4 linked regions of the Saccharomyces cerevisiae S288C genome follow. The protein of the gene in region 4 binds, or shares a complex with, the protein of the main gene of each other region. Each region holds a gene or a part of one and is shown on either strand. Other genes may lie near its edges. The genes, in order: RFC4, RFC3, POL30 and ELG1. A codon is read from its position in the direction of its gene.

Region 1 (4,953 bases), 460 kb from region 4:
AATGCAAGTCTTCGTTTACAAATGGTGATGTCATCTGTTGCGAGTCGTATTGCTTTTGCATATCGCTCATTATAGCGGTTGCTTGCGTATCGACATTGTATTGGCTCATAATCGATGCGGTGTTAATGTTGGAGCTCCCTTTACTTTGAGGAATTTCTTTGTTATGCCTAAAGTGATTGTTATTCTGCAATAAAATATCATTTTCATTTCCTTTTATAGAGTTATAAGAAGATGATGATGAAGAAGAAGAGCACGTTGTCTGAGATGTTGTAGAAGAACGTGCTAACATGGCAACATTATTTTTTGATCTCTGACTTCCAGTTGAATCTAATTTTAATTCTTTCACACTATTCGAACGACTCAAGCCTGCAGATGGAAGGCTGTTACCACAGATAGAAGAGTAATCATTTTTATAACTGTTGCCATCGTCACTACTTTTCATTGAAACGAGGCTCTGGTTACTTTTCATGGAACCTATACTCCGGCTGCTTTTGGAAGCTGGAGATTTGGAAAGTTTAAAAAACTCTTTCATCCACTTTCTCTTCGAAATTTTACTGTTTTCCAGACCACTTGTGTCGCCGTCCTTATGTGTATCGGTATCTTGTTCATGATTTGAGATACAACTAGAGTCTTCAGAACTACGCGAGGTAACTGTCATTGTTGAAGTCCCTTCCATATTTGATGCCTTTAAAATATTATCCATACTGGTAGCAGAAAGCTTTAATAGATCTTTAATAGATCTTTAATATGCCTTTAGTAATCACGGGTTTTTTCCTATTTAAATGAAATTTTATAATACATTTAATTTTTCTTTTTGTGACATTAAAAAAATGTCAATGACAGAGAGAAAAAAAAAAAAAGTTTGTGAGGTCAAAAATATGTTAAATAAATATTAGATAGAACATGTTAATTCAGTATAAATTTTTTATTTCTTTTGTAAATGAAAAACTGGGAAAATATGACGAAATCCATGAATAAAGTACCTATGCTTCCAACCAACCAGGAAGCATTCATAATTAGATACTTCCAGTCTAAAGAAATGACAATCACAGAGAAAATAAATGTGGTATTACCCAAACAGGCGAACAAAAAGAATAGGAAACTGATACCTTCACAAGACTTTCTCTTAAAATTCAGTAATATCTGAGGAATTCTTGAACCCAGATACAAAAGGGCACTTAAGTAACCGAATATCTGAGCCATCCAATTGATCTGCAGTTCGGGAACAGGCAGTGATGGATCCTCCACGGGAGGAGGTTGCGTGTAGTTTACGCAGTAGGTTACATACCACGAGATGAAACCTACAAAAACTACACCACTAACAATAAATATGTCTTTTATCAAATTTCTTGAATTGACTTCACGGAGATTATCATCACCAGCGTTTCCGTCGGATGAAGGAGCAGCCATTTCTTCATCAATACGATTTGGCTGACCTTGGGAATTCAAAAGCGGTTGTTGTTCATTGAACACATCGTGCAGAACGTTTTCGTTTATTGGATTGGCAGGGGAGAGATGAATAGGGTCTACTGCTGGTTTTTCCTCATTATCGTACCATAGACATTGACCTAGTAAAATGATATCTGCCACCGTATAGTAAGCAGCAAGAATGATCATGGTAGACAAAAGATGTTGCATAACGGCACCCATAAGGTTAAAGACATCGCCGGCCAACCAAAGTACCACGAACAATAAAGACAGCCCATCAGACGACTTCCGGTAAAAGTTCTCGTAAATTTGAGGGACAAACACAATGATCCAGCAGGAGATGGAGATGGACCCAGATATCCCACTTAGAGTGGATCTATTCAATTCTAGCGGCACAAGTTGCATAATTGAGGTCGTCGAGCGATGTGGTAGCTTTTTTTTTGTATGGCATTCTTTCGTTAGCAGTACATATCATCGCGAAGACGATTAAAGTACGTAGTGAATAAAAAGACGATATGTGAAAAATTGCAATCCGGGTAAAAATAAAAGAGTCATTAAGAGCAAAAATGACCATATTAGAGAATTTACAGGTAAAACACATACAACATCAAAGCAAAATAAGCAAAGAGAAATAAGAAGTATCCTCCCACGGCCCTACATTAGATTTGGACCTCTCGGACACTAAGATTGGTGTTGTTAATATTAAAAAGGGAATGCCATTTAGATTTCGAGTGGAGCCAGTTTCGGCGGCTAATGTCCAAGTACTATGATAAGCATAAACACCCTTTGAAGAACTACTACCAGTTGCGCATGTTTAACCCGTATCTCTGACATCAATATACACCTATTGTAGCTACGGAGACTATTACTATTTTGCTATTCAGTTACTAATAATACTACAGTGATGGCTGCCTATGTGTCCTTTGGAGCTGGCGAAGAGCTTGCGGATTTTGCTTCCGCATCCAGCTTTCTGGGTGGTAAAACGCTTTCAAAGGCATTTTTCCAGTTATGGTCATCAAAGTATTTCAGCATGAGTTGCACGACGTGCGTTGTCGTCAACACTCTTCTGCCTTCGAGATTGATGTACTCGTCAATGGGCAATCTTCGCGTAGGAATGCCCATCTTTTGGGCCTTCTTCAGACACAATTCTTTATAACGATTCTTGTCTACAATGCCGCCAACAATGTATCGCATCCCGGGTTCCAGCTTCTCCAGCTTTTCCTCTGTATCGGCCGTTAAATACACTATTTTGTCCTTACTTATATGCTCATCTCCAAACATGATTTTGTCGTCTGGTAGGAATTTAAAATGGTTCCAGTTTTCATAATTGGTATTTTTCAGAGTAGTTTCAAACCTTTGCTTTAGTCTTTTGTCGAATGGGGCCACCTTTATTTCTGCAAAATGGTTCGCCCTTCTATTCGCGGAGTATGCCCTGGTGACCTGGTTAGACAAGCTTACTATTTCCTTGTCGTTCATTAACTCATCAAAAGAACAGTCAAGTATGATCTCTATCCCAGAATCAGTCTGATTCACATTGATACGAGGCTCTCTAATCAATTCCTGCGGGACCTCTTCTCCCCTGTCAATGTATTCTTGAATCTTCGCACTTCTTTCATGGCGAAGTCTCTTCTTCTTTACACGGCGTTCCGCATTGTATTTGGCTTTATTCTCCTCCCATCTCTGTCTTTTACACATTTTTTTCCATTGCTTTTTAGACATGCCTTCTGGCACAGGCGGTAAAGGTGGTGTTCTTTTCACCTTTTCCTCGTTCTGGTTTATCTCATCATTGGACATGTTGTTTTGCCTGCAGATTGACACTTAATTATTTACCTTGAAAGCTTTACGCTATATTAAACATCACCATCTCTCTTAAAGACAATGAAAATTTTTCATTACCACATCACACTGTTAGATTAAACGCGTTTTTTCTTGACAAAAAGGTGGGAAAACCAACCACATATTTTAAATACTGTAAAATAGTAGCATTTATAAATCTGATTGGATCTATTATAACATTGCAGAGCTTCCCAGAAGATATAAAAAGTCCCTTATAATGTCCAAAACTTTATCTTTGCAACTTCCATGGGTTGAGAAATACCGTCCCCAAGTTTTATCTGATATAGTCGGTAATAAAGAGACCATTGATAGACTTCAGCAAATCGCTAAAGATGGTAACATGCCCCATATGATCATATCAGGTATGCCAGGTATAGGTAAGACCACTTCGGTACATTGCCTTGCTCACGAGCTCCTTGGCCGCTCTTATGCTGACGGTGTTTTAGAGTTGAACGCTTCAGATGACAGAGGTATTGATGTCGTCAGAAACCAAATAAAACATTTTGCCCAGAAGAAACTACATTTGCCTCCAGGGAAACATAAAATCGTTATTCTTGATGAGGCGGATTCCATGACTGCTGGTGCTCAGCAAGCGTTGAGAAGGACCATGGAGCTATATTCGAACTCTACAAGGTTTGCATTTGCTTGTAATCAATCAAACAAGATCATTGAGCCGCTGCAAAGTAGATGTGCGATTTTGAGGTATTCTAAACTATCCGATGAAGACGTTCTAAAACGTCTTTTACAAATCATAAAGCTAGAGGATGTTAAGTATACAAATGATGGGTTAGAAGCAATCATTTTTACAGCGGAGGGTGACATGAGACAGGCCATAAACAATCTACAAAGTACAGTAGCAGGACACGGTTTAGTGAACGCAGACAATGTCTTCAAAATTGTTGATTCTCCTCACCCTCTAATAGTGAAGAAAATGTTACTAGCCTCCAACCTAGAAGATTCAATTCAAATCTTAAGAACAGATCTTTGGAAAAAGGGTTATTCCTCGATTGATATCGTCACAACATCTTTCCGCGTTACCAAAAACTTAGCACAAGTGAAAGAATCAGTAAGATTGGAAATGATAAAAGAAATCGGTTTGACCCATATGAGAATTCTGGAGGGTGTTGGAACGTACTTGCAACTGGCTAGTATGTTAGCGAAAATTCATAAACTAAATAATAAAGCCTGATTTAAATATCCGAAAACTATAAAAAAAACTCCCATATTAGTGCATTACTTTAAATTCTACTTCTTTGTCTTGTCTCTTCCCTTGTGATGTGTCAGAATTTTTTTTTTTTTTTCATTTTTGCACAATTTAAGCTTTAAAGTTGTTTGTTGATCAAAACTTACAACTCGCAGTGCAGTTACATAGTCATAATATGTAGAAAAAATATAGAGAAGGTATACGTCGTTCGTTGAAGACAGATGGACAAGCTAACTCCATCTCAATGGAAGGTAATAAATAAGTCATATGAACCAGCGTCTACGATAAAAGTCATTGCGGGCCCAGGCTCAGGAAAAACGCTAACGCTACTATATAAAGTACTACATTTAATTACTGTGGAGAATATTAAGCCTGAAGAAATACTTATATTTTCGTTAACAAACAAAGCAGTTGATAGTATAATAGAAAATTTACTGTCCATTTTCGAAAACTCGCATACAAATAAGGAAATTGTCCATCAGATT
Region 2 (4,923 bases), on a different chromosome or scaffold from region 4:
CTAATGTGTCTTCTGGAACATACATAAGGTCCTTAGTGAGCGACATCGGTAAATCTATGAGGAGCTCATGTTATATGGTGAAATTGATACGTTTGCAACAGCAGGACTGGTCTCTTGAAAAAAATAATGTGTTCCAATTAACGGATTTTACTGAAAGAGACGAGAAGGTGTGGAGTAAGGTACTGGAGAAGGTTCTAGACGAGGGAGCAACTGTTGATGTTATAGAAGAGCTAAAGAAAGCAGAAAAGGAAATACCAGCGGACGTGAAGGAATGTATAGTTTCGAGTGATCAACCTGGTGATGAGGCTACGGCTGAAACAATTGAAACTGCTAACGCCGAAGAACATTCTAATACACTAAAAAGAAAAATCGAACAGGTGTAAAAAAGAGGAAGTTCGAACCATTTTTTTTTTTGGTCTTGTGAAGACTACGCTCTCATTTTATCTATTTTTTTATGTGTATATATGATTTAAAAAAAATCGATGTACTTATGCATTTAAATCGTTCAATTTTTTTGTGATAGTTCGGTCTCTTCTACGTATCGTCCAATGGATGAATTACCATCAAGGATGAGTTACCTATATAATTACAGGTTGAGTAGTCAGTGTCCATATAGAAATTGTAACTTTGATAAAGAAGATCTTCCGTAGTAAGATCATTCGGACAGGAAAATTGAAAATCGCTTGGGCAATTTCGTACTAATGTATAGCACATGTCAATACAAGGTAGAATTTCGTAATAGTCATCCAAAGGTTTAATAAATTTATTCAAATAATCATTACGGTTGTGACTTTTATCTCTGTGGATGTAGTATTGGGAAGACGTCGTGGTGCATCTCGGAATTGATACTGCACATACCCAATCACGATAAGCTTCGGCACAATCGTCACAAGTCATGACCGGAGAATATCTTGCGTCTTTGTCTGCGTCACAGGATATTAACTGTAGAGCTTTGCTAAAATTTGCATATAGTGCCTCTGCAATGTGGTCATATGTCTGCGCCATGAGAGTTTTATTACCCACAGAAAATGAGGATGTAGGAACAGAGTAAGCGACGTCACTGCAGAAGTCCAAACCAAAGATCAAAGAGCAGACATCGGTACTTCTTGTGGTAAAATAAACATGTGAAAATAAAATGCCGCCCACACTTGACAACCCATCACCATTACTGATTTTCTTTGTCAGGTACGCTACATAAGTTGTTGAGGCATTCAGTCCTGTCACGTAAAACATTTCTGTCACGCTACCACCATATTCTGTAATTTTTTTTTGAATCGCCAAGTCAGTACGCTCTAAAGGATTTGTACTATTTGACGTAACTGTTGCATTTGATGTATTTTGGGAAGACACTAAATATGGTCCATTTTTCACAGCACAAAGAGATAAATTATAGTTTTGGTTTAGTTGAACAGAATCTTCGTACGAGTAAACATACAGATCGTACAAGGATGGATCATATATTGAATAATTGTGATAAACTTTGGCGTCTGCGGTGACATTCCCCGTTGATAGTAATGCAGAATTCATATCAGTGTCCAGGACCTCTACCCAAGGCCTTACATCCCACTGAAAAACCAAATCGTTCTCAGAGATACTCAGTCTATATTCCCAATTTTCAGAGGCGTCGGAACTGGACAGAGGTTGCTCCGTAGTGGAATTCACTAGCTCAGCGACCACATAAAGATTTGAATACGTGGAGGTAGCGTTCGAGCTAGAAGACTGCACTGGACTGATGGCTAATGCTTGGATGTAGCCATCCTGAAAAACTGCACTTTGACCTATATTTGGGTTCTCTAAAACCGTTTCATTAAAAGAGTAGTATATTGTTAAATCCACATCTGATCTATTCATGGGCATTTGGCATATATTGCCGCTAATAAACATTAACACTTCATACGTGGGAGCAAACCCATAACCGGAGGCTTCTGCGTCAATGGTAAATACAAAACTGTCTTTTTTGCCCGCTGTTATGTTAGATAAGATCGGGGTCCATTCATAAATGCTATCCGAATTGATGATTGTTTGTTGACCAGTAGCCATAACGTTTTTCTCCCATCTATTTAGGCTGGGAAACTTTAAGGAAATATTCTTATTTGCGAAAGGATTGAAGTCTTGGAATAAACCGTGAATAGAAGTGGTAAATAGGCAGTAAACCACGAATAGTGCTTGCCACACTATCATCCTTAGAAATAATACTGCCGCTGGACAGAAATTGTAGTGTTACGGGTTTTACTGCAATTCAGTATGGCAGTTAAGCCAGTCAAGTATTTGAGAAATAGCCAAAACGGTACGTCAGCCGGTCGAAATTATTAGGGAAATTTTCCGCAACCAATGGCTCAGTTTCAGTAACCTGTTCTTGAGAAAACAACACGTTTACTTGTAGAGTTACTATTGCGGTCCGATGGCAGCGAAACTATATCATTATTATATTATGTATGGCTTCTCAATTTTGATCTTTTTTTTTTTTGGTCAGTACGCGATTTTGAAAGAAATGGAAAGAAGCTATAAAGAGCACAGGATAAATATCTTTTCAAAGCTTGAATAATTTTATAAAAGGTGTAGGAACAGGCCCGACATACAAGAATGTCGACAAGTACAGAGAAGAGGAGCAAAGAAAACCTTCCATGGGTTGAAAAATACAGACCCGAAACGTTGGACGAAGTGTACGGACAAAATGAGGTGATCACCACAGTTCGTAAATTTGTAGATGAAGGTAAATTGCCACATCTTCTATTCTATGGGCCTCCAGGTACCGGTAAAACTTCTACAATTGTTGCTTTGGCACGTGAGATATATGGTAAGAATTACTCGAACATGGTTTTGGAGCTGAATGCATCCGATGACAGAGGTATTGATGTGGTGAGGAATCAAATTAAAGACTTTGCCTCTACAAGACAAATCTTCTCTAAAGGGTTCAAGTTAATTATACTGGATGAAGCAGATGCCATGACCAATGCCGCACAAAATGCGTTGAGAAGAGTTATAGAACGGTACACCAAGAATACGCGGTTCTGTGTATTGGCCAATTATGCGCATAAACTTACACCTGCGTTATTGAGTAGGTGCACGAGATTCAGATTTCAGCCCTTGCCCCAAGAGGCCATTGAGCGTCGGATAGCCAACGTCTTGGTGCATGAGAAGCTGAAGTTGTCTCCTAATGCGGAGAAGGCCTTAATAGAACTTTCTAATGGGGATATGAGACGTGTGTTAAACGTTTTGCAGTCTTGCAAAGCTACTTTAGACAATCCCGACGAGGATGAGATCAGTGACGACGTTATCTATGAATGCTGTGGGGCACCCAGACCAAGTGACTTAAAGGCAGTATTGAAGTCGATACTGGAGGACGATTGGGGTACCGCCCACTACACACTTAATAAGGTACGCAGTGCCAAGGGTCTCGCGTTGATCGACCTAATCGAGGGCATAGTGAAGATACTGGAAGACTACGAACTTCAAAATGAGGAAACAAGAGTGCATTTGCTTACCAAACTGGCCGATATAGAGTACTCGATATCCAAGGGTGGCAACGACCAGATTCAGGGCAGCGCGGTCATTGGCGCCATCAAGGCCAGCTTCGAGAACGAAACTGTTAAAGCCAACGTATAATCGACGCAAATATGTATAGATACAATATGTACAGAACAACTGCATTGTGCAATATAACAACATAACACAACGCCCAGAACGAAATAAAAAAAATAAAAGAAATAGATGAAAGCATTTTCAATTTGCATACCGGAAACCGTAAATCAATTGGCGTCTAGCTAACAACTGAGAATGCGAATCGCCAAATTGTTACAGAAAGTAGCATTCCGTTACGTGATCTGTACTTTAACCTCTTGGACGTAAAGAATGGCAGAACTCTGGCTCTAGTGTTCTGCGAATGCCAGATCGGGAAATATTTCCCAAAAGGGCAACAGCGGCACGAACAAGAATTTCGTGTTAAAAATCGCGTCCGGCGCGAAATTTTTCGCGGAGGCATGCGACGCAAAAGCGACTCGAAATGTCGGGAGCCAAATGAGGCTACAAGGCTGTGGGCAGATTTTGGCGTTATTATGGAGAATAAAAGGAATGGTAGCTTCCATATAGCGATAGGAAAACATATATAAGGTCAATAGGCCTACATGGTAATGGGATTGATAAGCTTGTCCTTAACTCTTGTGTCTTGGAATTACTATTGCGTACATCAGCAATCATCCATTGTCAAGAACAAAAACGATAACAAAAACAATCAATTATACAAATAACAGTAAAGTAATAAAATGTGTGAATACAGCAAGGCTCTTCATATTCTGCTCAAGTCGCCAGTAACGGATGACATAATAAAATTCTTAACAGACACAACATTGAGGGTTGTTCCTTCAAGCAACTACCCCACGCCTCCCGGTTCTCCAGGAGAGAAACACCTCACAAGGCTGCCATCGCTAATGACTTTTATCACTAGATTGGTCAGATACACCAACGTCTACACACCCACTCTGCTCACCGCTGCGTGCTATTTGAACAAATTAAAGCGTATTCTGCCCAGGGACGCTACTGGTCTCCCCTCGACCATCCATCGCATTTTCTTGGCCTGTTTGATACTGAGTGCTAAGTTTCACAATGACTCTTCTCCTTTAAACAAGCACTGGGCTAGGTACACCGATGGTCTCTTTACACTAGAGGATATCAACCTTATGGAAAGGCAGTTGTTACAGCTGTTGAACTGGGACCTCAGGGTGAACACAGAAGATTTGATCCTAGATCTGCAGCCTCTATTAGAGCCCATCAAGCAAGACTTGGCAAGATCCAGCGACCAAAGGAAGAGAATTAACATGATGATGTCCATGAACAGAAGGACTTGTGCTGGCACGAGTCCTATCAGATCAAACAACAGATTCAAACTCTACGAAAAACAGAGAAACGTGTCGATAGCATCCGATT
Region 3 (4,375 bases), on a different chromosome or scaffold from region 4:
CGATTTTTTATTCCTTGGAACATAAAATAGACTTTTCATTTGTATGATGGTTCATGGAAATTATAGATTAGTACAGCACAAACATGTCATTGTGGGTAGATAAATACAGACCTAAGTCCTTGAATGCTCTTTCACATAATGAAGAGTTGACAAATTTTCTAAAATCGTTATCTGATCAGCCTCGTGATTTACCTCATCTTTTACTGTATGGACCAAATGGTACAGGTAAGAAAACGCGTTGTATGGCATTATTGGAGTCCATATTTGGACCTGGAGTCTATAGATTGAAAATTGATGTCAGACAATTTGTCACTGCTTCGAACAGAAAACTAGAACTGAATGTGGTCAGCTCGCCATACCATTTAGAGATCACGCCAAGTGATATGGGTAACAATGATAGAATTGTCATCCAAGAACTATTGAAAGAAGTGGCTCAAATGGAACAAGTGGACTTTCAAGATTCTAAGGATGGACTTGCCCATAGATATAAGTGTGTTATTATCAACGAGGCGAACTCGTTAACAAAAGATGCTCAAGCTGCTTTAAGACGTACCATGGAAAAATACTCCAAAAACATTAGGTTGATAATGGTCTGCGATTCGATGTCGCCTATAATTGCTCCTATCAAATCCCGTTGTCTGTTGATTCGTTGTCCTGCACCAAGCGATAGCGAAATTTCAACTATCTTGTCTGATGTGGTGACAAATGAAAGAATACAACTAGAAACAAAGGATATTTTAAAAAGAATTGCTCAGGCATCGAATGGAAACTTGCGAGTCTCCCTATTAATGCTTGAATCTATGGCACTGAACAACGAATTAGCATTGAAAAGCAGTAGCCCTATAATAAAACCAGATTGGATTATAGTGATCCATAAATTAACGAGGAAAATCGTTAAAGAGAGATCTGTCAATTCTTTAATCGAATGCAGAGCTGTCCTATACGATTTACTAGCTCATTGTATACCTGCCAATATCATCTTAAAGGAACTAACGTTTTCTTTGTTGGATGTGGAAACCCTGAATACCACGAATAAATCGTCCATAATTGAATACTCAAGTGTTTTTGACGAAAGATTATCACTTGGAAACAAAGCAATATTCCATTTGGAAGGGTTCATAGCAAAAGTTATGTGCTGTCTAGATTAATGTAAGATATGTCATAAATACTGTATAAGTCACACAAAAAGCTGATATTTAACGCATCTTAGTCTTTATTTTCTTTGTTATTTATTTTCATTTAAAACAAACTTTACTGTTTTTTTTTTGTTTATTATTTTTAGTATACAACTATATAGATAATTTACATTTATTCTTCGTCATTAAATTTAGGAGCCAAGAAAAACTGTAGGAACCCACTCTTCAAATCAAATTGGAATAAAGCAGGAGCTTCGCTGGAGAGCCTGATACCAACTCTATCAGAAAGGGAGGAGCCCTTAATGATGTCCAATAAATATTTAGCTCCGAACGTCAAGTCGACAGGTTGATCCATTTCAAGTTTGATGCTTGTTTCAGGATGTTCCATATCCACGAATGGTTTTATTATGACTGAACCTGATCCGATATCACCGTCAGCTACAAACTTTATTGTTTCTTTGGTGATCATGATATTAATAGAATCACTCAATTGGGACAAGTCACGAACAATTTTAGAGAATTCGGAAGATGGCAATGACAGGGTGGAGTCGTACTGTAATTCTTCAATCTTTAAGAAATCAGCATCGATATCCATCAATTTCAGAGAGTATTCGGCTATACGGTCTTTCTTGGTATCCTCAAATAATAAGATGATGGAATCCGGTGTGTTGTCAGCAATTAGTGTTAATGTATCGGTGTTGTTACCACAACGTAGGATTTTACTTAGTGAGGTTAGATCCATACCTAACGTAACAGGATGGTCACATCTATATTCTTGGAAGGCTTCGACACCTATTTCCAAGGAGACCAATAGAACTCTTGAGTCATCGACAGCTTGTGCAATGATACCATCTTCTTTACATTGGAAATTGACCAACTGGACACAATCTTTGAAACCATCAATTATTCTCTTGAAAAGGGATGCTTCTTCAAATTTTGCTTCTAACATTTTTTCTCTCTTTTGACTGCGTACTTAGTGCTTGCTGCTTGTTGCTGTGAGTGAAAAAGGACGGCGAAAGTGAAAGGTGCAAGTGGAAAGAAAGGAAGGCTAAAGCAAAAGTGTTTCTTATATATAATTTTATGTACCAGAGGAAGCAAAGTACGAAAACTATCAGTTGAAATCCAAAAAAAAAAAGTTACGCGTTTCGCGTTTTGGTGCGTCGGATGGAGAAGAAAAATGCTAAATAATTAGATATTGAAGAATCAGCATAAGTTGTGCGAAAAAGGAAGAGAATACATAAAAGAAAAGAAGGATATATAAGTAAAATAATGATAATAGTAATAATAATAACACATAATGCAACCTACTCAACTTCTTTCTGAAGTTTCAAAAGTACGTTGTATGGGAGGTAGAGAACATTGAGTTGTTAGATCAAGCACGTGTAGCATTGTACAATTCCTTTTCAGATTCGTATCTCTTCTTGTCTGCTTGAGCCTTAGATTCATAGGGTTGCTTTTCTTCAGCAGTTAAGGCCTTCCACCTCTCACCCAATATTCTGCCTACTTGGCCAAAAGTTACGTCAGGATTCTCGGAACGGACAATGTCTCTGTTTTCATTAGCAAAGAACATATAAGCTGACAAGCCCCTCTTAGGGGCGTTAGGATCCTTCTTTCTCCTGGTGGTCCTCTTCTTTGGTTCCTTTGGTTGCTTTGCTTCTTTAGTTGCGGCCATAGCGCTAGTTTTATATATGTTAATGTTCTAAGTTAATTAGTTAGTACTCTTGTCGTGCGCTATGATAAACAAAGGAAGGGGGTGCACAGAACAGCAGTCCTTTAGAGGATACTACAGTAGAAAGCTAGAGTCCTGACTTACAACTTGAGCATGCCGTTATGGGCGGCTATTTCATTTCACCTGAACCGTATTAAAATATCATCTTCCTTGCTGCTACAACCTTCATTGTAGCCGGTTTATAAGATTACCATCATTGTCTACCCCTCTTTAACTTCTCCCGAAAAGCAGAGTTGCCCTTAGCTGTATCCTGTTCTAGCTGTGCTAAACTGTACGTTCTTATTAAGCCCATCCTCGTCCGCTGGGCTCACCCAGCGCCTTACATACTTTGCGAAAAAGTCGTTTTTCTGCTTGGTGTTAGGAGCTGTCTCCCATAGTGTAAACTCCCAGTATTGCCTCAACCTCACTTGCTGTACTTTATAGTTGCCGCGCCACCTAAAAAAAAAAACAAAAAAGACACCACCTAAAAAAACGGGTGAGGGGAATGCACGTGACCCAGGTGCGGGTACCATATAAATGTACTTCTAAAATTGTCTACACAGCTTATAATGCTATATATGCAGGTTACTATTATATACAAACAGCACAGACAGTCCTCATATTTACAGCTATTTTTTGGAATCATCAGCTATTTCTTTGGCCACAAATCGCGAATAATGTCGTAGCTGATTCTCTGGCCCGAAACCTCGTGTTTGTACAAATCCTCCAATGAGGCGATTGCTGTAATGCATCTTTGCCACACATCTGTCTATGCAGCATTGCTCACCTTTCGTTAGATCAGGCTCACCAAAGCCCTCATGCGGAATACATTTCTCAAGACACGTACTGAGAATATTGTTGAAAGTCGAGCACATCGCATCGAATTGCACTCCTGCAACGTCTAGCTTCTCTTGCGAGACCTCCTGGTTGCCCCTTAGACTATTTAAAAAGAACGACATCCTTTTCTTGGTGCACTTTAATATTATACGGGAGCTCCGATATCTATTTCAGCAATATAGACTACAATCAACTTTGCTGTTCTTACTTTTTAGTTAACTTTTTTCTTTTCATTCTGCCGCTAATCTACAAACTCGTTACCCTACTAGTACATAAAAGAAGATCAGAATCGATGGGTATTTATTTATATTTGCAATATTATTTATTTATACAATTTATTGTTTTAATAGGGTATCGTTGTAGTGAGTAGTATTCCAGTCCCAGTAGAAGGTCAATTCGGTGACGTTACTGACACTGCTGACGTTACAGACCTTTAGGAAGTCAGTACCAGCTACTCTCTTTTCAGCATAGTCGTAGAAATCATTGATTTCACAAGAGAACCCTGGGCCGGTGGAACAGGTTTCAATTGGAACGACAGCATCGTTAATGACGTATCTGACGTAGGTGTCGTTAGAACATTGGAATTTTTCGGTGTAGACACGAGCACCTTGAGGAACGTACCAGGACTTATGGAAGGTGTTGCCCATGAATGGAACGTATTCGGCAGTTAAGTTGTTTTTGTCGTCAATTATAC
Region 4 (4,807 bases):
GAGCCATAGAATTTGTGACAATATCAGCCAAGACGCTATAATACTTATTTCATTCAGAGAGAACGGCCTGTTGTTTTTAATAAGAATCCACTTTAGATTGATTTTGAACCTTTCTTGAAAATTCTTTGCATCTGCTAGAAGCGATTGCTTGAACTCTCGCTCATTATTTTTTCTCAGCAAAATAGTCTCAATATTGGAAGCCTTGGTAGTGAACTTGTCATTGCTTGGAAATGTTCGGATGTGCCTTTGGGCGATCAAACATCTAACAGGTAACGAACTCTTGTAAGGTGTTATAAAAGGTCTGACATTTCCATGATTAGTTGCGACGTAAGTTCGAATACAGTGTCTTACGAGATGACTTGTAATTGGAAGCAGTGGCCGCTTTATTGTAGGGACCCGTAAACGTGTGATTAGCATGAATTTTATAAACCTCCCACCACCTGATAATCTGTATGTGCCTTTTGTTTTAATACTTCTTGACGCAAATCTACTGTCAACTTTAATATGCATCCCTCCATAGTAAGTCAAGGATCAGCTAGAACCAATAACGAGAAGTAAAAAAAAGTGACAAAAAGTCAAATGTGTCTTTATACGAATTTTTTAACCTACATATGAAGAGTAAGGTCATAAATAATAAATGTAGGGCTAAATGCAGTTAAGATTACTACAGTATTAGGTCTGTTTTTTATCACCTCTTACGGAAAGTGCGAGCGGGAAAAAATTTTTCTTCTTTCCTTATTATCATACCGATGCTCATCACAATGAAAGATACATATTGCATCAATAATAGGCAGTTTTCAATATTCTTCTGTTTAGTTAAGAAAAAGACTTGAAGTGAAAATAAACTACATTATGGTTGCGCCTACTGCTTTGAAAAAGGCTACTGTGACACCTGTAAGTGGACAAGATGGGGGCAGTAGTAGAATTATAGGAATAAATAATACCGAAAGCATCGATGAGGACGATGATGACGACGTTCTGTTAGATGATTCCGACAATAACACAGCAAAAGAAGAGGTAGAGGGCGAAGAAGGTAGCCGGAAAACGCACGAATCTAAGACCGTAGTGGTTGATGACCAGGGGAAACCTCGCTTCACTTCAGCTAGCAAAACACAGGGTAACAAAATAAAATTTGAATCGAGAAAGATCATGGTTCCACCACACAGAATGACACCCTTGAGGAACAGTTGGACAAAAATTTATCCTCCTTTGGTCGAGCACTTGAAGCTGCAAGTCAGAATGAATTTAAAGACCAAATCCGTAGAACTAAGAACGAATCCTAAATTTACCACAGACCCTGGTGCGTTGCAAAAAGGGGCCGATTTTATCAAAGCCTTTACCTTAGGGTTTGATCTTGACGATTCTATCGCACTATTGAGGCTAGATGATTTATATATTGAGACTTTTGAAGTCAAAGATGTCAAGACTCTAACAGGTGACCATTTGTCGAGAGCCATCGGTCGTATTGCCGGTAAAGACGGTAAAACGAAATTTGCGATTGAAAACGCTACAAGAACAAGAATTGTCTTAGCTGACTCTAAAATCCACATTTTGGGCGGGTTCACCCACATCAGAATGGCAAGAGAATCTGTGGTTAGTTTAATTTTGGGTTCCCCTCCAGGTAAAGTTTATGGGAACTTACGTACCGTTGCATCTAGATTAAAAGAACGCTACTAAACATAATTTGTGGGCTTTCATCATCTGTATAATATTTATATGTCGTTTTATGGCGAAATAGAGTGAATAAATAGGTTTTTTTTTCCTTCTTTTTTTTAGGACGCCAAACGCGTAACGTTAGCGGTGATAAATTAGTTTAGTATTATTATCCGGCTATTTGCTTCATGTATTTAACGTCTTCACTGACCACCTTCGCTGCACTAAATCGTATGGTACCATAGCATTAAACTTTTTGAATCAGAGAAGGTTTTCCAATGAAAAGGCACGTGTCTTTATCTGATATATTGACAGGAAATAAGAGAAAAGTGAGAAGACAAGATGCTCTACAGATTACCATCGATGACGAAAATGATACTGAATCAGGCACTTTTGACGCCAGAACAGCCAAACATGACGATTCTTCAGTAATATTTTTAAACCACTCTGTTGTGAAGCCAATTGAAGCTGTTTCTACTAATCACAAATCTGCAAAGGAGTTTTTGATGACGAAACGCACAAAAGAAAAATGCGATGACGACGATGATGATCTTATTGTAATCAGTGATAAGAGTCCCAAAAGTGAGACTAATTGTAGCAAAATTGCACTTTCGCAGGAGCATGAAGATGATATTTCTATAATTTCCACATCGAGAATCAAATCATCGCTTCTTAATGAAAGAGCATCAAAGATTAAAAACTTCCTTAAACATGAGACAACCGACACGTTCAAAAGATTAAATAGCATCTCTAAACTAAATGAAATAGAGCCACCATTACCATTACATCAATCGATTTTCCCAGTAGGTGACAAAGAGCTGTCAGATCGGAGTGTTGATATCCCGCTTCCTTTCCGCACAATACCGCCATTAAATCATAATTTTCTTCCTAGTGACTATGAATCGTTGAAAGACAAGAATTCAGCATCTTGTATTCCTGTTCGCTATCAAGCACCGGTATTACTTGGCACAAATATTAAAAGAAATACAACTCTCACATGGCCGCAGCTATTCAAGCCTGTCACTTTAAAACAAGTATTAATTGAACCCAAATTGAAACTTCGAATCAAAAATTGGATTGAAACATCCTTTCATACGCTAGAAAAGCCTACCTTGAGGAACCGTCTATTGAACAGAATAAATCCCAATAAACAACAGGGATCTGGTGATGAGCTTGCCAACTTCATTGTACCTGATCTCGAAGAAGACGAAAACTTGCGTCCAGATTTCTACAGAAATGGCGAAGCAAATAGCAGCTTGAGCGAATTTGTTCCACTAATGATATTACACGGAAATTCAATAGGCAAGAAAACGCTGATACAGACAATCATGAGAGAGATTGCTGGCGACGATAATTCTTACCAGATATATGAAGTTAATTCAAACATGAACAGGAGCAAAAAAGATTTGCTTGATATCCTACTAGATTTTACCACCACACACTATGTCAAAGATTCCTCAAAAAGGAAAAGTGACTACGGGCTTGTTTTATTTAATGATGTTGATGTTTTATTTAAAGAACATGATAGGGGATATTGGGCAATGATCAGCAAGCTTTGTGAATTTTCACGAAGGCCCCTCGTATTGACTTGTAAGGATTTGTCACTAGTTCCTAGTGAACTTATTGCCTTGGCAAGTGAACAAAACTCTTTGTTTCATACTAAGAAAATTAGTACATCCACAGTCTATGCGTTTCTAACAAAATATTTAAAGTCCCTTGAAATCGAAGTTTGTGACGACTGGCTTCGCGATGTTGTAAAACAAAATAATGCGGATATTAGGAAGTGCTTGATGCACTTGCAGTTTTGGTGCGTTGATACTGAGGCTGATTTGATTTCATCCAAGAACAGACTACCGGTCCTAACATCAACTCTTGGTTCAAGCGTTAAAGATATATCGCAATTAACTGATCTACTCTCCATAAATGATGTTATTGGTCAAGCAACGCTCAATCGTTCCATGGTTAGACAAGAAATAGATTCTACCACAATGACCCCAGAAAAAGTTAATACTTTCCAGGATCAAAATCTGGATGATGAAATGAAACTAAAATTTGATTACGTGATAGATTATAAATTGCATTTAAATGACCCCAATAGACAACCGTTATTACCGTTTGAATTGAATATTTACCAACACATCCAAGAACAATTGGAAGCTCGGTATTCCTATGTTAGAGAAGCAAACCATAGGCTTGATAACGAATACCTTGTTAACAGGTTCAAAAAAATGACAGAATCTACATTAAATTTTTTGGCGTCAAGAATACCGAAGTATGACCATCTTCAGTCGGCAAGAAGGACGAGAAATTCGAAGAAAATTTCTGATATTTTGAACCAATTCAAAGGAATTTATAATGATGAAACTCTGAACGAAAATGCCGAGATTGATCTGCTGAGCGCCACAACTCAACAAATTAAAGCGGAGATCAATCCCTTCGTTTTTGAAATCGCTAAAAGTGACGCCAATGTCAAGAATGAAAACAAACAAATATTTGAGTTGCATAGTGAAAATGTATCAGAAAGACGATACAAAGATTTGGTCTATCAGTTGTCACAAGAGGGTGTCTTGAAAAACGTATGGTTCAACGCTGATCCGAGCATAGTCGTGAGAAAATGGGAGCATTTGCACTCAGGCTTTTCAAAGAACAAATAACACTGATATGAAATTGCGTGCATCGTTACAGGAACACGTATGTATAATAAATATAGCATGGTAGTGCGGGGAAATATACTACTACTTTATATATCAATAAATTCTGCAACCTTGCATTAAGCAAATGCAGCACAATCCTAAATTCCTTCTAATAGTTGCCTTTATTTCCTCATAGTGCATATTTCAAAACAGCGAAAAATGCAAAATATGCGAAAACTTGAAAAAAAATGGCTGATGGGAATTACAAATAAAGCGTGAATGATAAGGCGTTTATAAAAGATTTAGCTTCTTAAGTACTGTGGTTTTGATAAAAGCTAGAAATTTGTAGATCACAATTGGTCACAAAGAACAATAAAAAGCTGAATATCACTGCTATGAGCGAGGAGTGTATTGAAAATCCTGAACGTATTAAAATTGGTACTGATTTAATCAACATCCGAAATAAAATGAACTTAAAAGAACTAATCCATCCAAACGAGGATGAAAACTCTACCCTACTC

Evidence for each region.
Region 1: the proteins of ELG1 (region 4) and RFC4 are in contact, whole or in part, in a cryo-EM structure (PDB 8THD), measured with the Saccharomyces cerevisiae proteins. Residues at the interface, in NP_014787.3 of Saccharomyces cerevisiae: Arg193 (codon at 2,508), Ile195 (codon at 2,514), Pro196 (codon at 2,517), Leu198 (codon at 2,523), Asn199 (codon at 2,526), His200 (codon at 2,529), Phe202 (codon at 2,535), Pro204 (codon at 2,541), Asp206 (codon at 2,547), Tyr207 (codon at 2,550), Leu210 (codon at 2,559), Lys211 (codon at 2,562), Asp212 (codon at 2,565), Lys213 (codon at 2,568), Arg222 (codon at 2,595), Pro226 (codon at 2,607), Thr237 (codon at 2,640), Thr238 (codon at 2,643), Leu239 (codon at 2,646), Thr240 (codon at 2,649), Gln243 (codon at 2,658), Lys344 (codon at 2,961), Asn367 (codon at 3,030), Ser368 (codon at 3,033), Asn369 (codon at 3,036), Met370 (codon at 3,039), Asn371 (codon at 3,042), Asn406 (codon at 3,147), Asp407 (codon at 3,150), Val410 (codon at 3,159); in NP_014547.1 of Saccharomyces cerevisiae: Glu28 (codon at 3,563), Thr29 (codon at 3,566), Asp31 (codon at 3,572), Arg32 (codon at 3,575), Leu33 (codon at 3,578), Gln35 (codon at 3,584), Ile36 (codon at 3,587), Asp39 (codon at 3,596), Asn41 (codon at 3,602), Pro43 (codon at 3,608), His44 (codon at 3,611), Met50 (codon at 3,629), Ile86 (codon at 3,737), Asp87 (codon at 3,740), Arg90 (codon at 3,749), Lys94 (codon at 3,761), Gly106 (codon at 3,797), His108 (codon at 3,803), Met119 (codon at 3,836), Thr120 (codon at 3,839), Ala121 (codon at 3,842), Gly122 (codon at 3,845), Gln125 (codon at 3,854), Ala126 (codon at 3,857), Arg128 (codon at 3,863), Arg129 (codon at 3,866), Thr130 (codon at 3,869), Glu132 (codon at 3,875), Leu133 (codon at 3,878), Ser135 (codon at 3,884).
Region 2: the proteins of ELG1 (region 4) and RFC3 are in contact, whole or in part, in a cryo-EM structure (PDB 8THD), measured with the Saccharomyces cerevisiae proteins. Residues at the interface, in NP_014787.3 of Saccharomyces cerevisiae: Arg184 (codon at 2,481), Ser185 (codon at 2,484), Val186 (codon at 2,487), Asp187 (codon at 2,490), Ile188 (codon at 2,493), Pro189 (codon at 2,496), Leu190 (codon at 2,499), Pro191 (codon at 2,502), Phe192 (codon at 2,505), Arg193 (codon at 2,508), Met561 (codon at 3,612), Val562 (codon at 3,615), Arg563 (codon at 3,618), Glu565 (codon at 3,624), Leu611 (codon at 3,762), Phe613 (codon at 3,768); in NP_014109.1 of Saccharomyces cerevisiae: Ile90 (codon at 2,851), Ala121 (codon at 2,944), Met122 (codon at 2,947), Thr123 (codon at 2,950), Asn124 (codon at 2,953), Ala125 (codon at 2,956), Gln127 (codon at 2,962), His151 (codon at 3,034), Lys152 (codon at 3,037), Leu153 (codon at 3,040), Thr154 (codon at 3,043), Pro155 (codon at 3,046), Ser242 (codon at 3,307), Lys245 (codon at 3,316), Ala246 (codon at 3,319), Leu248 (codon at 3,325), Lys249 (codon at 3,328), Leu252 (codon at 3,337), Glu253 (codon at 3,340), Ile284 (codon at 3,433), Leu285 (codon at 3,436), Glu286 (codon at 3,439), Asp287 (codon at 3,442), Tyr288 (codon at 3,445), Glu289 (codon at 3,448), Leu290 (codon at 3,451), Phe331 (codon at 3,574), Glu334 (codon at 3,583).
Region 3: the proteins of ELG1 (region 4) and POL30 are in contact, whole or in part, in a cryo-EM structure (PDB 8THC), measured with the Saccharomyces cerevisiae proteins. Residues at the interface, in NP_014787.3 of Saccharomyces cerevisiae: Glu275 (codon at 2,754), Lys276 (codon at 2,757), Pro277 (codon at 2,760), Gln362 (codon at 3,015), Tyr364 (codon at 3,021), Asp379 (codon at 3,066), Ile380 (codon at 3,069), Asp383 (codon at 3,078), Phe384 (codon at 3,081), Thr385 (codon at 3,084), Thr386 (codon at 3,087), Thr387 (codon at 3,090), His388 (codon at 3,093), Tyr389 (codon at 3,096), Val390 (codon at 3,099), Lys391 (codon at 3,102), Arg431 (codon at 3,222), Arg432 (codon at 3,225); in NP_009645.1 of Saccharomyces cerevisiae: Asp42 (codon at 1,962), Ser43 (codon at 1,959), Arg44 (codon at 1,956), Val45 (codon at 1,953), Leu47 (codon at 1,947), Leu126 (codon at 1,710), Lys210 (codon at 1,458), Tyr211 (codon at 1,455), Pro234 (codon at 1,386), Phe249 (codon at 1,341), Ala251 (codon at 1,335), Pro252 (codon at 1,332), Lys253 (codon at 1,329), Phe254 (codon at 1,326), Asn255 (codon at 1,323).

What each region holds. Positions count from the first base shown.
Region 1 is NC_001147.6:141,084-146,036, reverse strand, and holds RFC4 (replication factor C subunit 4), read left to right. Parts: upstream 1-3,481; coding exon 3,482-4,453; downstream 4,454-4,953. Other genes in the region: SPO21 (Spo21p), read right to left, coding at 1-703; YPQ1 (cationic amino acid transporter), read right to left, coding at 907-1,833; TRM10 (tRNA (guanine(9)-N(1))-methyltransferase), read right to left, coding at 2,341-3,222; HMI1 (ATP-dependent 3'-5' DNA helicase), read left to right, coding at 4,690-4,953. UniProt on the Saccharomyces cerevisiae protein: Component of ATP-dependent clamp loader (RFC and RFC-like) complexes for DNA clamps, such as the POL30/PCNA homotrimer and the checkpoint clamp DDC1:MEC3:RAD17 complex.
Region 2 is NC_001146.8:83,635-88,557, forward strand, and holds RFC3 (replication factor C subunit 3), read left to right. Parts: upstream 1-2,583; coding exon 2,584-3,606; downstream 3,607-4,923. Other genes in the region: pseudouridine synthase PUS4, read left to right, coding at 1-383; MID1 (Mid1p), read right to left, coding at 535-2,181; PCL1 (Pcl1p), read left to right, coding at 4,263-4,923. UniProt on the Saccharomyces cerevisiae protein: Component of ATP-dependent clamp loader (RFC and RFC-like) complexes for DNA clamps, such as the POL30/PCNA homotrimer and the checkpoint clamp DDC1:MEC3:RAD17 complex.
Region 3 is NC_001134.8:423,682-428,056, forward strand, and holds POL30 (proliferating cell nuclear antigen), read right to left. Parts: upstream 2,086-4,375; coding exon 1,309-2,085; downstream 1-1,308. Other genes in the region: RFC5 (replication factor C subunit 5), read left to right, coding at 84-1,148; NHP6B (high-mobility group nucleosome-binding protein), read right to left, coding at 2,509-2,808; YBR090C (uncharacterized protein), read right to left, coding at 2,652-2,835, 3,193-3,377; TIM12 (Tim12p), read right to left, coding at 3,474-3,803; acid phosphatase PHO3, read right to left, coding at 4,017-4,375. UniProt on the Saccharomyces cerevisiae protein: This protein is an auxiliary protein of DNA polymerase delta and is involved in the control of eukaryotic DNA replication by increasing the polymerase's processibility during elongation of the leading strand. Involved in DNA repair.
Region 4 is NC_001147.6:602,217-607,023, reverse strand, and holds ELG1 (Elg1p), read left to right. Parts: upstream 1-1,931; coding exon 1,932-4,307; downstream 4,308-4,807. Other genes in the region: MDM32 (Mdm32p), read right to left, coding at 1-417; PNO1 (Pno1p), read left to right, coding at 853-1,677; THI80 (thiamine diphosphokinase), read left to right, coding at 4,682-4,807.